Schizosaccharomyces pombe: one gene and its partner. The protein of the gene in region 2 purifies or fractionates together with the protein of the main gene of each other region. This does not show direct contact. Each region holds a gene or a part of one and is shown on either strand. Other genes may lie near its edges.

What was found. The genes of interacting proteins can lie anywhere in the genome.
Region 1: the proteins of iss10 (region 2) and mpp6 purify together in Schizosaccharomyces pombe (affinity purification with mass spectrometry, with the first as the bait; one large-scale study listed by BioGRID). This does not show direct contact.

The regions. Positions count from the first base shown.
Region 1 is NC_003424.3:2,888,076-2,893,401, reverse strand, and holds mpp6 (nuclear exosome-associated RNA binding protein Mpp6), read right to left. Parts: upstream 3,327-5,326; 5' UTR 3,245-3,326; coding exon 3,218-3,244; intron 3,182-3,217; exon of another isoform or gene 3,163-3,181; coding exon 2,623-3,162; 3' UTR 2,515-2,622; downstream 1-2,514. Other genes in the region: SPOM_SPACUNK4.20 (uncharacterized protein), read right to left, coding at 627-851; gor1 (glyoxylate reductase), read left to right, coding at 875-970, 1,227-2,092, 2,144-2,186; iph1 (metallopeptidase), read right to left, coding at 3,454-5,326. UniProt on the Schizosaccharomyces pombe protein: RNA-binding protein that associates with the RNA exosome complex.
Region 2 is NC_003424.3:2,607,307-2,615,671, forward strand, and holds iss10 (protein Iss10), read left to right. Parts: upstream 1-3,719; 5' UTR 3,720-3,793; coding exon 3,794-5,449; 3' UTR 5,450-5,696; downstream 5,697-8,365. Other genes in the region: serine/threonine protein phosphatase PP2A catalytic subunit Ppa1, read left to right, coding at 797-1,726; phosphatidylinositol-3,5-bisphosphate binding protein Atg1802, read right to left, coding at 2,163-2,175, 2,216-2,985, 3,042-3,148, 3,223-3,296, 3,355-3,398; SPOM_SPAC7D4.13C (uncharacterized protein), read left to right, coding at 5,990-6,004, 6,077-7,000; SPOM_SPAC7D4.12C (uncharacterized protein), read left to right, coding at 7,736-8,365.

The DNA.
Region 1 (5,326 bases), 280 kb from region 2:
CAAATGGAAGATGAGTAAAAAGTAGTTGTGTTCGCAACGTATTTGTCCTCGGAATATGCGGATATTTTGATCCAATGTTTTTGCATCGCTACTTTTATGTGTTTCATTTTGTACCACTACAATTCGAGTTTTTAAACCAGTTTCAATTCCATCCTTCCTAACCATGTTTTCTTACCACTAACTCTACAGATGCTTGCACTCAGCGATCACTCGCATCCCCCCACTCACACATTCTCCCTTTCTACTTCCTCTCCTCTTGTTAGTGGACTTTTCTTTCTACTTTGCACGCTCGCTTACAATTCCATGTACCACGCCCATCCTCCTAATCTCCATATATCAGCATCATGTACCGTGCTCCTCCTTCGTCTCCCACGTGATCCATAGATAACGAACATCATAGATAAGCCGGTAAGACTATTTAAGTGCAGTGGAACAGCAGGCACACTAATCCTTAAGATTTGACCAAGTTGGTTCAGGTTGGTATAGTCTTATTTAGAGTGCGTGTGTACGTAAGAAAAGAACGCAGAGTGCGGGATCTAGACATTAAACACCTCAGTTCTCCGCTGTTTAACCAATCTTACTAAACCTAAGTTCAACTATCGCTGTTACAATCGTTGCCTTTTTGTTCATTCAGAAAAGCATAAAAAGCGAAGAATATCCTGCTTTCCCCACATCTCCATCACATTCTTTGTTGTACTCAACTCGAGATTTCTAAATAGTTGTACAGCGGTTTTTTTGTGTGTTTGTGTGTGCGATTTGCTTTTGTTTGACAGAAAGCCTTTATTCAAGATATCAACTATACCAGAACTCAAGCACGAAGGTTCTGTAAAATAATCAATCGATCGTCTCATCCTCTCAACGACTTGTATTCATCATGACTCTTAGTGGAAAACCTGCAGCTTTACTCGTTGGCACTTTGAAGCACGCTCATAAGGAGTGGGAAGCTCTTGGAAAATATGCAGAGTTGAAGGTAAAGAAATAGAGAAGGGAGGGAAGAAGGGACAGTAGTGGGAGATGGAGGTTGAAGGATGAGCAGAGGATATGGAACTAAAAAATTCAAGAGTGATTGCTTGTTTGTTGTTCTGTTGCTTCTTCTCCCTCGTCCTCTGCTTCTGCGATTCTGTTGGATTTCTTGGCTATCTAGCGGATCTCCTAGCTTCCCGACAAAACCTCAACATATGCGCTTAGTTGTGTTTACCTGTTCTTGTTTACTAATGTCGTTTTAGACCTACAGCGATGGCACTCGCGAAGACTTCTTGGCCAAATGCAAAACCGAGTTTCAAAATGTAAAGGCCATCTGTCGTACTTACAACTCCAAGTTTTACATGGGCATTTTTGACAAGGAAATCATTGATAATTTGCCCCCATCCGTCAAGTTTATCTGCCATTTGGGTGCTGGTTATGAAACTGTTGATGTGGCTGCTTGTACCGCTCGTGGTATTCAAGTCTCCCACGTTCCCAAGGCTGTCGACGATGCAACCGCCGACGTTGGTATCTTCTTAATGTTAGGTGCCCTTCGTGGATTTAACCAAGGTATCTTTGAGTTACACAAGAACAACTGGAATGCAAATTGCAAACCCTCTCATGATCCCGAGGGTAAAACGCTTGGTATTTTGGGTTTGGGCGGTATTGGTAAGACCATGGCCAAGCGTGCTCGCGCCTTTGACATGAAAATCGTATATCACAATCGTACTCCCCTTCCCGAGGAAGAAGCTGAAGGTGCCGAGTTTGTCTCATTTGACGATCTTTTAGCCAAGTCAGATGTGCTTTCCCTCAATTTGCCCTTGAATGCTCACACCCGGCATATCATTGGAAAACCAGAATTTCAAAAGATGAAGCGTGGAATTGTCATCGTCAACACTGCACGTGGTGCCGTTATGGATGAAGCTGCTCTCGTCGAAGCTCTCGACGAAGGCATCGTTTACTCTGCCGGTCTTGACGTATTTGAAGAAGAGCCCAAAATTCATCCTGGTCTTTTGGAGAACGAAAAGGTGATTCTTCTTCCTCATTTAGGTACAAACAGTCTTGAGACCCAATACAAAATGGAATGCGCTGTTCTCATGAACGTCAAAAATGGAATTGTCAATGATTCGTAAGTCCTTATGTTTTTCCCCTTTCTTTCAATTTCTAACTTTTTTTCTAGACTTCCCAATTTGGTTCCTGAACAACGTGGTGATATAGAGTAGATTATGTTTTTCTGTCTACTTACCTCGGCTTTACGTAAATCGACTTAAATGTTTTTATATGCTTATGTTATACGGTCGTTCAAATATTGATTCATTCGTCTCAAATTATGGTCTATTCATGACTATTTTCATTATATAGTAAATACATATTTCTACTGTTCTTTCTCATTCTTTCTCCCTAGCAGATTTCGTAAAACGACAACGATGAACTACTGCTGTAGTTTCAAACTCTTACATTTACATCTTAATAGCAAAAAAGCATCGTTGATATGTAGCGGTTCTCTTTTTTTCTCCAGGTTTAATAATACACAGTTAGAAAGGACCATGATAATAATTCAGAAAATTTTAATTAATATTTACAGTACCCAAAAATGCTTCACATCCCTTATTCATACAATGAACGTCCAGTCAAATTGAAAAAAAAAATGAGCAACTCTTAGTTGCGTTTTTTCTTCTTTTTGTTTTTATTTTTCTTTGTTTTTCGGGCATTGGACTCTTTGGGGGAATGTAGAGAAATGACATCTTGAGACAACTCATTAACTTTCCTCTTTTTGGATTCCTTTGCCGGGGCCTTCACCTCCATTTTACGGGATGCCTCCGCCTTTTTAGACACTAATTCTTGTTTACGACGTTCTCTTTCTGTAAGCTCCGATGTGTCCGTTATTTTAGTACCGTTTACATCAACCTCTTCATTCTTAGAAACATCTTTTTCATCCACATTTTCCTCTCCTAGTTCCTTATTAAATAATCCAAAGCTAGCTCTTCCTTGTACTAAATTAGGTTCATTTGAATGACTTTCAAGATCGTTTTCTTCAATCAGACCCCCATAACCCGATTCATATTCTACATTACGAGTCATCTTTTGGGGTAAAAAATCAACTTTTCCTGCAAGACTCCAATGCTCATCTGTAACAATGTTCTTGCTTAACTCTTCTTCTGCTTGCTTCGGGTCAATGCCTCGAGCGCGTTGCATAAACTACAAAATACAGGTTAGTAGAAATTTTTCTTAAAAATTTGACTAAATTTCGTACTTTCATAGAAAGAAGTTTAGACGACATTTTAAAATAAATATCTTATCATAAAAAAAAACAATTGTTTTACTATTGCTTACAAAATCTATGAAAAAGAGACTTTGCAGCTAGCAGAAGAGTAGGTCTCGTCACACTTGTTTGGATAGCGAGAAAAACCGCAGTGCCAGAATGCAAAACTGAAATTAAGATGAGAATATAAAATCAGTAAATTTGAGAATCGGATTAGGGAAAAAAAACTAATTAAATAATAAAGACCTATCGATTTCATCAAAGGGTTTAAGTGGGAAAGCCGCTTTACTCAATGTCATGCTTTCCTTGAACATGTTGCCATTTTCAATGATAGTAACATTGGGAATTTCGTAAACTTCATCTTCACAGCGTTGAGAAACAACATGCACAGATATTTTTTTAGTATTTTCTCCTTCATAATGAATGTTGTTTATGAAGAAACTGTAAAACTCATCCTTGGTAATGGTAGACACAATTTCTGCTTGCTTTTCCAATCTGGTAAAGTCATAAAATCCATCACAAATACGTAACCAATACATAGAAGATTCCTCTTTTAAGTTTGTATGCTTTTCGAGCATAAAGTTAATCAAGCTTGATTTGTGCTTACTGAAATCCTCGTCGGACATTTCTAAAAATTCGCTTTTGAATTGATCCAACAAGGCACGAATTCTGGACTCTAAGTATGTACTACTTCTCTCACTTTGCACAAAAATATTCAAATTTATAAAAGGCGTGACTTGACGAACTAAAGTAAAAACAATATAACCAAGTTGTTCTTTAGTACGCAAGATGGAGAAAGTGGGTTCCTTCATTATTTGCCGTGCTAGTCGAGTTAGGGCTCCAGATCTTTCATCGTCAAGCTGGCTGATTTGAAGATTATACATAATAGCAGAATTTTTCTCTTCCTTGTTTGGCACCACAGTTTTGTAAATATAATTACCACCTTCAGGAACTATTATAGCCCTTTTACGGCTCAACTGGGATGCAAAGACTGGTTTTGGGTCAATCAGTTTTTGAGCGGATTCAATAAGATTTTTGGCATCTTCCTCGGTATAGTTTCCATGTACCAAAGATTCTAAAAAGTTTTGTTTTAATAAATCACTAATAAAATCAGACATATCGCCCACCTGGACATCTTTAATAGCTTCACGTAACTCAGCATTTGACCACGAATGCGGTTCGCTCAACCATGTGAGTACATGGTTTGAACGATGATATGCTTCCAAAGCATCATAATCTTTAAGTTCTTGTTCCAAGCGATTCTTTAATATTTCAAATCTTTGCGGATGAACTTTGAGATCACGCATCATTGCGACTACTTTTTCCAAAAGTACATGTAATTTATCAGTAAACCCTGAAATACAAAGTATTATGCCACGAGTAGATGGTGAAAGTGAAAAGGAAAGACCAGCTAAGCTAGCAGGATAAGAATATTCTCCTAGAGCATCTTCTATTAATCGCGTGTAAAGTGTCGTCGACACAGAAACTTTGGGAGACCTCCTGGCGATTGGAGATATGAAATTTATGAAAACGTTAGCTTTAGGTACCCAAAAAGTGTCATCCTTTTTATGCCATAATCTTACAAATTTGTCATTTCGCACCAAATTCGGCACTTTCAGTTTCGTCGTTACTGGCTGCTTTTCAACTTCTAAAGACCAAGGAATGAATTCATTTGCCAAAGGCAAGTAAAGTTCACTGGATGTCTTAATATGTAGCAAAGAGTCTATAAACTGAGAATCCAAATCCTCCAATCCGTAATCTATGCCATAGAACTTCTCTTTATTATCAAGTCCTTTCTCAATTGAATGAGCAGCTAAAATGGCAAAAAAGTTATTAGGACGAAGACTCTCAACAACCTCCTGAATACCTTTAGGGTCAAATTCAGTGAGTACTGAGGAATAATAAAGGACTTTATCACGAGGATATTCTCGTTGAAGCTTGCTAGCAACAACATGCGCATACTGGTAAGCAGGGGTTTTTTGTCTCGTTTTAAATTGAGCCTCTGACATGATACGGGTTTCTTCAAATAAAAACTTGTGAGCATTTGTCTGGTCGAGCAATCTTATATATTCAAATAAAATTTTAATAACCCTCTGGTAA
Region 2 (8,365 bases):
TGCATCATTCACCAACGGTTCGATTAGTTTGGGTTGTTAGAAGCAATGATTTAACATAATTTGTATTTATATACTCATCCATTTGCGAGTCTTGTATGAAAAATCCTATATCATATCAGTCCGTAAGTGGTCGCATTGCTACAATATCTCTTTATTTTTTTTAAGAAAGAAAATAAAGAGATATTAAATTTTGCGTCTTTTGGTCGTGAGATCGCCGAAATAAGGTAGCGAGTATAACATAATGTAGATCACGCATATTGTTATATTTTGGTTTGGTAAAGTTACTCAAAGTCAGGAAACTTGTAATGATGTTTTAAGGGGCTTGCAGAAAAAATTGCTATTACGAAATCCATGTCTGTAATATTTTGGTTATTAATAAATTGAAATAAAATTTAAAACATGAAATATTGTGACTTTATGTATCCTGTCTACTACCATACCTTTCAACCTTCATACAAATTTTCCCGTACTCGCATCATTTTCTTTCTTCACCTAACTCCCCACCGTGTCTGTAAAACATAATATTTCTCTTTCCCACATACGAACGAATAAATAATAAAATACAGTATATGTACAGTAAACGTACCTCAGACACCATTATTTTGTCAAGAAAGTGAATAAGCTTACAATACCCCCGTCATCCAGTGAATTCGTAAGTGGGAAGTTGAAAAACGCATGCTCAACGCAGGATAGCATACAAACGGAAAAGCCCTTATGGATTTTTCTGTGGATGCTTTTCTTTTTAATTAAAAATTTAGTCGTTTATTAACTATTGCTTTAAGTTTTTTTCAACAAGATGTCTGTCTCTGGAAAAATTGGAGAGGTCGATCGTTGGATTGAACAGTTGAGTCGATGCGAACCTCTTTCAGAGGAAGATGTCATTCAAATGTGTGATCTCGCAAAAGAGGTACTTTCTGTAGAATCAAACGTTCAAAGCGTCCGATGCCCTGTAACGGTTTGTGGTGATATTCATGGACAATTCCATGACTTAATGGAGTTGTTCAATATTGGCGGCCCTTCACCTGATACAAATTATTTGTTTATGGGAGATTATGTTGACAGAGGATATCACAGTGTAGAAACAGTTTCTCTACTGATTGCTTTTAAAATTCGATATCCCCAGCGTATAACAATATTACGTGGAAACCATGAATCTAGGCAAATTACACAAGTTTATGGATTTTATGATGAATGCCTTAGAAAGTATGGAAATGCGAATGTTTGGCAGTACTTTACAGATCTTTTTGACTATTTGCCTCTCACCGCCCTAATTGAAGATCGAATTTTTTGCCTTCACGGAGGTCTTTCTCCTAGTATTGATACACTTGACCATGTTCGTATATTAGATCGTGTGCAAGAGGTTCCTCATGAAGGTCCGATATGCGACTTGTTATGGTCAGATCCTGATGACCGACCTGGTTGGGGTATTTCTCCTCGAGGTGCTGGGTATACGTTTGGCCCGGATATTGCTGAAGCATTTAACCATAATAACGGTTTAGATTTAATAGCAAGAGCTCATCAGCTAGTTATGGAAGGTTATAATTGGACTACAAACCATAATGTTGTTACTATTTTTTCTGCTCCCAATTATTGTTATCGATGTGGAAACCAAGCAGCCATTATGGGAATTGATGACCACATAAATTACGCATTTATCCAATATGATACTGCTCCCCGAAAGGAGGAATTACATGTCACCAGAAGAACACCCGATTACTTCTTATAAGTCATCGTATGTTTTACTTTCTTCTTGGACTTGTTAATAGCTGGAATTTTTCATGGTTGGATTTTAGCGTTGTCAACGTGCCGCTAAAAATTTACTTTAATTTTATGGGTTTCTAATAGAATGTTGTTATCTTCGAATTTTTAATTCTCCTGTTTCGGTACAAATATTGAATTTATGGAATGCATATAAAATTTATATAGGATATATGATGCACTTGTAAGGTGTCTACCGTAATGATAATTTTTCACATCTGTACCGGTGTATAATATATTAGTGAAACACCAACTTATCGACATTAACATTTTAATAAATTATCTACAAAGGTCTAAACATAAATGATAGCATGTTCAGTAAATAAAAAAAAAACATAAGACCATGAAAGCTAAAACATTGTGAAGCTGATGTATGAGTAAATTTAAAACTTGTGCGCAAAAAGTTAATCGTCAAAGCTAGATATGTTAATAATCGAAAATTTAACAAACAGCTTACATGTAACGCTCAAGTAAAGCACAATTTCCTCCATTTTTAAGATTTACTGCGAACCGATAATAGTGTCCTGAATAAGAAGCTACTTGTATGTGCGGACCGCTGCTCGAAAAAATTATTTTTCCATAGAAAGAAGCTTCAGGAATCTTAGCAGTTGCAAATTCTTTCCTAGTGTCCCAAACTTTTGCTACATTTGAAGTTAAATATTTTGACCAAGAAGATGACACAGTTACGGAAGATGTAGGAGACGAATTCGGATCCGATGGTTGCTTAGAGATTTTGAAAACGTGAATAGTACCATTTTCAGAAGCACAAGCCAGAAAAGGCTCAACTGGGTGAAATGAGATAGATACAATGGATGCAGGTATATATCCCCTGCGCAATTCTGTCACCAATTCACCATCACTAGTTGTTATAACACGGATTACAGTTCCCTTTGCGGATGCAGTCGCAATCAAATGTCCACGCGGATGAAAGTCAACTACTTGGACAGCGGAAGAATGGCAATGAATCAATGTGACGGGTATTGCAGTATCCAATGAGGCTAAATAAATATCACCAGGGTTGGTCGGTGAATTATATGCAACATAATTCTCATGAACAGCAAAAGCTATAACATTTCCTTTCGAGGTATTTAGAGTATTAATTAATTCCATGTTTTTTAGATTATATACGTAAATACTCCCTTTAATTAAAACAACTAAACGATTCCATGTGAAACGTACACTTAGCACAGGACTCGGATAAAATATTCGGCATAAAACGATATCTCTCTAAAAATATGGGTTAAAATTAAGAAATCAATGCAGAATCTCAGTTAACTAATTACCTTGATGTCAACCAATTTTAGTAACCTCGTCGACTCAGGGGAAATATTCACGAAAGCAAGTAGAGAAGATTCATAAAGCATTTCACAAATACTTGCCCCATTGGCTTCTACAATCAGTAAGTTATAAGTCGTGTAAGATGGGCTTGTGTTTCCACTTCTCGGAAATTCATTGACAGCTTACTTTTTGAAAAGCACAGGGTAAACGGATTGGAGCGATAAACTTGATAGCCATTCTCAGAACCAATTGATAAAAAGCTAAATTTAGCAGTCAGTACAAAGATTGCACAAAATCTATTTTATGTGTGCCACTTACCCACGATCTTGATTCCACGAACAGTAAAGGATAATCGATGGCATTTCTCTTAAATCGACTGTTAATTTATTTAGTAGTTCACATTCACCCCTGTCTTAATACAATTGCTGATCACGTTCAATGGTAAAAGTAAAACAGATTTGTGCTAAGGCAGTGTGCGTAATTGAAGCAAAAAATAATGTGATTCGTACAATGCAAAAGCTTAACTTTGTAGTATCCAGAATATAAAAGAACCCATTTGAGCCTTTAGCAATTTTGATTAATGAATGTTTTTGTTATGTTTGTATTATGCAAGATAATATATACAGTGGTGCAGCGCTCCTTAATGGTCACCTCTACGCACATTCAAGAGCGTATATCTTGGCAACATCCAAATGTTGAATAAAACTTTTTTTGGGAATTCATGAATTTTTATTGTTTTGGTTAAATTTAAATATTAATGGATGCCGTTGAACCTTCTGTGGAGAAGGAATACAAAAAAATAATTTCTTTTAGAGATACTGTGTTTGAAGGGAAACATCAACAATTTTTGGTTCCGAACAATGTTCGTTTAAAATTTTTAAGAGATAGATTACATAAATCTTTAAAAAATTTTGATTCTGTTAAACGGAAAGTCGAAATTGCAAATGATGAAGGTAATAACAAACTCCTGAAATCATCACCCAAAGCACAAACCAGAGATGAAAATACTCCTTCTGAATTTAAGAATGGAGGTTTTAGTAACAGAGAATCTATGTCCGAAAACTGTTTTTCTAAATCATCTACTAATTTACCACGGCTAGACATTAACCGTGATTTTAATTCCTTACTTAATAGTCAAACAAAACCTGAAGCCACTGGTTTGATGAAAGAGGATATTACTCCCGTTGTAAACACTAGCAAACAATCTTCTACTGGGACTCAAGAGGAGTCCTCAAAACCGGAAAAATCTAATAAATTGTTAGCAAAGAGTACTTTATCTTTGTATGGGAATCAAGCTTTTAATCCTTCTTCAGTTCTTCCTAGCAATTCTTCATCAACGCCTAAGGAAAATAAAAAAAATGTGAATAAAGAGACATATCAACCGAACACTTTTCGCCGTAGTCCGTTGAAAAATGATACTGGATCAGTGGAGTTATCAAACCTGTATATGCCGTCTCCACCATCATCTGCGCTTCCCGTATCGCTTGTGTCAGCTCCTTCTCCTCCGAGGGCAACTAACGTTGCAGTCCCGTGTCTTAAACATTTGGAATCGAGTGAGCAGGGCAATAACCTACTTATTAACAAAGCTTTTACTTCTCCTCGCCTTCCTTCACCTCCCCAGTCAACAAGACCTAGCTCTACTAGGTTTCCTTCGGTTCCTTTATCAGATGAAAAAAACTCAATTGTCTCCGTAAAAAACGAAGAGCCGTCTGTCATTCTGGGAAATCAATCACCAATTTCGGATTTGCATCCGTATTCTCCATCTTGGATCCCCTATCCAAAGGAATTGCAATCGCTACAAGTCAATCGAATACCTGAGTTGTCCTTGGAGAACAATGTCATGTCAACTCGGGATTATAAGGATATAATGCCTCACCCTCGTCCTTCTGCTGTCCTTTTAGATAAACCGGTTTCTTTAGATCAAACTTCTCATCCTTTCCCTCATCAAAATACTTATATTCTACCTCCGGGGATAAGGAATTCTGTAGACTATGACGGCACTTTTCTTTCCCGTAAATCGCTTCCTCCTTATAATGGCATTCATCGTCTTCATGAGAGCCCTTCTCAGTTTTCAAATCAATCAAGATATAATTGGGAGCCAATTTTAGAAAATCGCTCCCTGCTCCATTTGAATCGTCCGCCTCCTATTGAAACGCACTATTCATACGAATCTAACAATTCATCGTTTTCTCCGTATTACCATAAACGGCATAGACAGATTTCTCCATACTACCCCACTTCCTCAGTTTATGGAGTTTATGAAAGTCCGCCTCACATGTCTGATTCTCGTATTTCTCGGCAGCATATGCCTTTAACGCATACTACTTATGAGCCTTCTGCGCCTTATTATAACGACTATGAATTAGCAGAGGAAATTGAGAGGCGTCGTCATCATAGCTTTTATGATTATTAGCTATACTCTTCCGTAAGTGCGCGCAACAATTTAAAAATTGCTTGGCGGAATATTTGAATTTGCATGTTTTTGTTTTAACTTATAAAGAAAATTAAGTACCTTTAGTACTGGTAATGTTTGATGTACATTTATTATAGTAGATAGAATATTCATGTTGCATAAATTGGTTTCGCACTTTCAGTTAACATTTTCAAATTCATTTATACATAAATACTTTTTTAGATGATTAATAAGAGGCGTTTCATAAATAGTATAAGTACTTTGTAAGCCTATTCTAATGGATGTGAATAAACAAAGAGACTATGGATTATGTGAATAGTTATATTACTTTCTTATTCGATAATCAAATTTTAAAGCTCCCAAATGCAAGATTATTGAAGAAATTTTGAAAAAGTTTCTTTAGTTAACATTAGCATGTAAAAGACACATAAACCCTAATTGACTGTAACATAAGAGACCTTTTACTTACGTCTACAGCGATTATTCTACTGGACTTAATAAAAGCAAAATTCGGACGGTCGAAACAACTCATTTAGACGTATGAGTCTATTTATTGTAGGTTAGCTTTTTGAATGAATATTACATATCATTATTTTTCTCTTTCTTTCTCTAACTACTAAAACCTAGGGTACTCATAACATCAAAAACTCAGCAATACAACTTTTAAAGACGAAACTGAAAAATGAATTTTTAAAGGGCGTTAAATGTATTACTAAATATCCCGAAAATGCACATAGCATTTTTAAAGTTCAAGAATATACTGGATACAAGGGAGTGACCTTTATAGTATCTACCAAATGGAATCTAACTGTCGACTCAATTCATAAACTAATTCCTGAAATTAAAAGCTCTCCGAGTGCATGTTTACTTTTAGTAAACCAACCATACCCAGTTATCGAAAAAATAACTGATATTCTTACAAAACATGGGATCACGAATGCAAATCTTTTGGAATTTTCAAAATCGTCTTTGTTGCATCCTTTTAAAAGGAATAGACACCTTCTTTCATTCGTGCCTTATCCTATGACTGCTGAGACATTAGGAGACATCTCGTGGTCATTTTCTCGAAGAGAAAATATGAAATTTGAAAAGGACCAGCAGTATATCTTATCAAAATTTAAAAGTCCACGAAATTTATTGATTCCTTACCCCTCTTTCCTAATTCAAAAGTTCTTGGATATGGCAATCCTTCCTCCTATGGCAGCTTTAAGGATTTTGTTTTATCAGTATTCTAAAGCTAGCACGATGAGCCTTACAGATGACTTTTACAATAAGTATGTGCTGGAGAATTTGAATATAATAAACAATTTACAGATTTTTCTTCATCTTGACTTAGAACCTTTACATATCAAAAGTCTTGCTAAAGCAAGAAAAAGATTTTATGAAACTGACTTGAAAACAACATTTTTAAATGCATTTTCCAGAGACGAGTTGTTGATGTTGGTTAATTATTTTATTTTTCGGGGCACCGAGTTAAAACTTTCTGTTTCCATGAATCTCGCTTTTCGTGACATTCTATTATCATCGGCTTATTTGAATAAAACCAAATAATACTAACGAAAATTACTGGCTTAATGCTGCTTATAATCTTTTTATATAGTATTTTATTTCACGGTCTGAGATTCGTGGCATGAATGCTATAATGCTAGTAACTACCGATGATTATTCATTAAATAAATGACTGTATCCTGTAGAAACAGGATATTATGTTGACAGAGTTTAATGGTCATTTGTAAAAACTAATTAAAGTAATAAGTAAATACATTTTTAATATAGATAAGTGGCAGAATAAAGTGAGGGAAGCTTTGTCGTTTAAGTTGTATATTTTTTTTTAAAGCTGGGCAGTAAATATATTTCATATTTAATGAATTTGCGTCGCCGCCGACAGCATCAGAAACCATCAATTTTTTATTATACGGCCGGAGAATTTTAAAAGAATAAATATAAAATACTGATTACTCCCTAAAGCTGGCTCTAGACACGAACGACATTAAGGCGAACCACGTGGAATTTTTGGTATAGAGGCGTAAAGTGTTCACTAACCACCTAGCATAAACCCACTTAGGAGTGTCAATTGAAAACTGTAGTGCTTCAACTAGTGAATTGCAATTGTTTTAAATTATTTTAAAACAATTGATCATATTTGTGATGATTCATTGAATGAAGTAAATTAGATTTTTTATGGGCGTGTGTTGATTGTTGCGATTAACATCAGCGACACGAATATCTTCAAATTTTATTATCATTTTAGAAAAGAAAAGTTATTTTTTAGAAAAATAAAAAACAATGGACGGAAATCGTAGAGTGCGTTTCAATACCGATAGACGACCTTACCTCTCTCCCTTACAAACATCTTTTCCGAGTTCCACTTCGTTTCAGACCCCTACATTTTTAATAGAAGAAGATGATGAAGATACAGAGGATGATGATGGACCACAGGTTCTTCCTGTTCATAGGGCGCCTTCTCCTGCTGCTTTTCGCAAAAGAGGCTCTATAACTTCCATGGATCAATATTTAGTAAACATGCCGGCTGTTCCAAGTCCTACCGCATCAAAAGTAGGCCTATTGGATGCTAGGAATACAGACGTTGAAAGCTATGCAGCTAGCTATAAAACCCAAAGTAGTTCAAATTCCGTCAATAGCTTACCAATGCGTAGGCCTACTCTGGATAGAAGCTACTCAGCACCTATGATCGCTGCTAAAAATTTACAGAGCGATCCGGAAAAAATGTCTAATGTCGAATCAACTAATGAACTACCCTCTACTACAACAGAAGCGTACAAGCTTGTTGCTGCTCACACGGCAGCTCGATTAGAGCATATGAGGCTAAACGCTTTGAAGGCCGCTAATGATGAAGGAGAAGATGTTAAAGATAACGAACAAGATGACAATATAGATGAATCTGATCCATTTGCT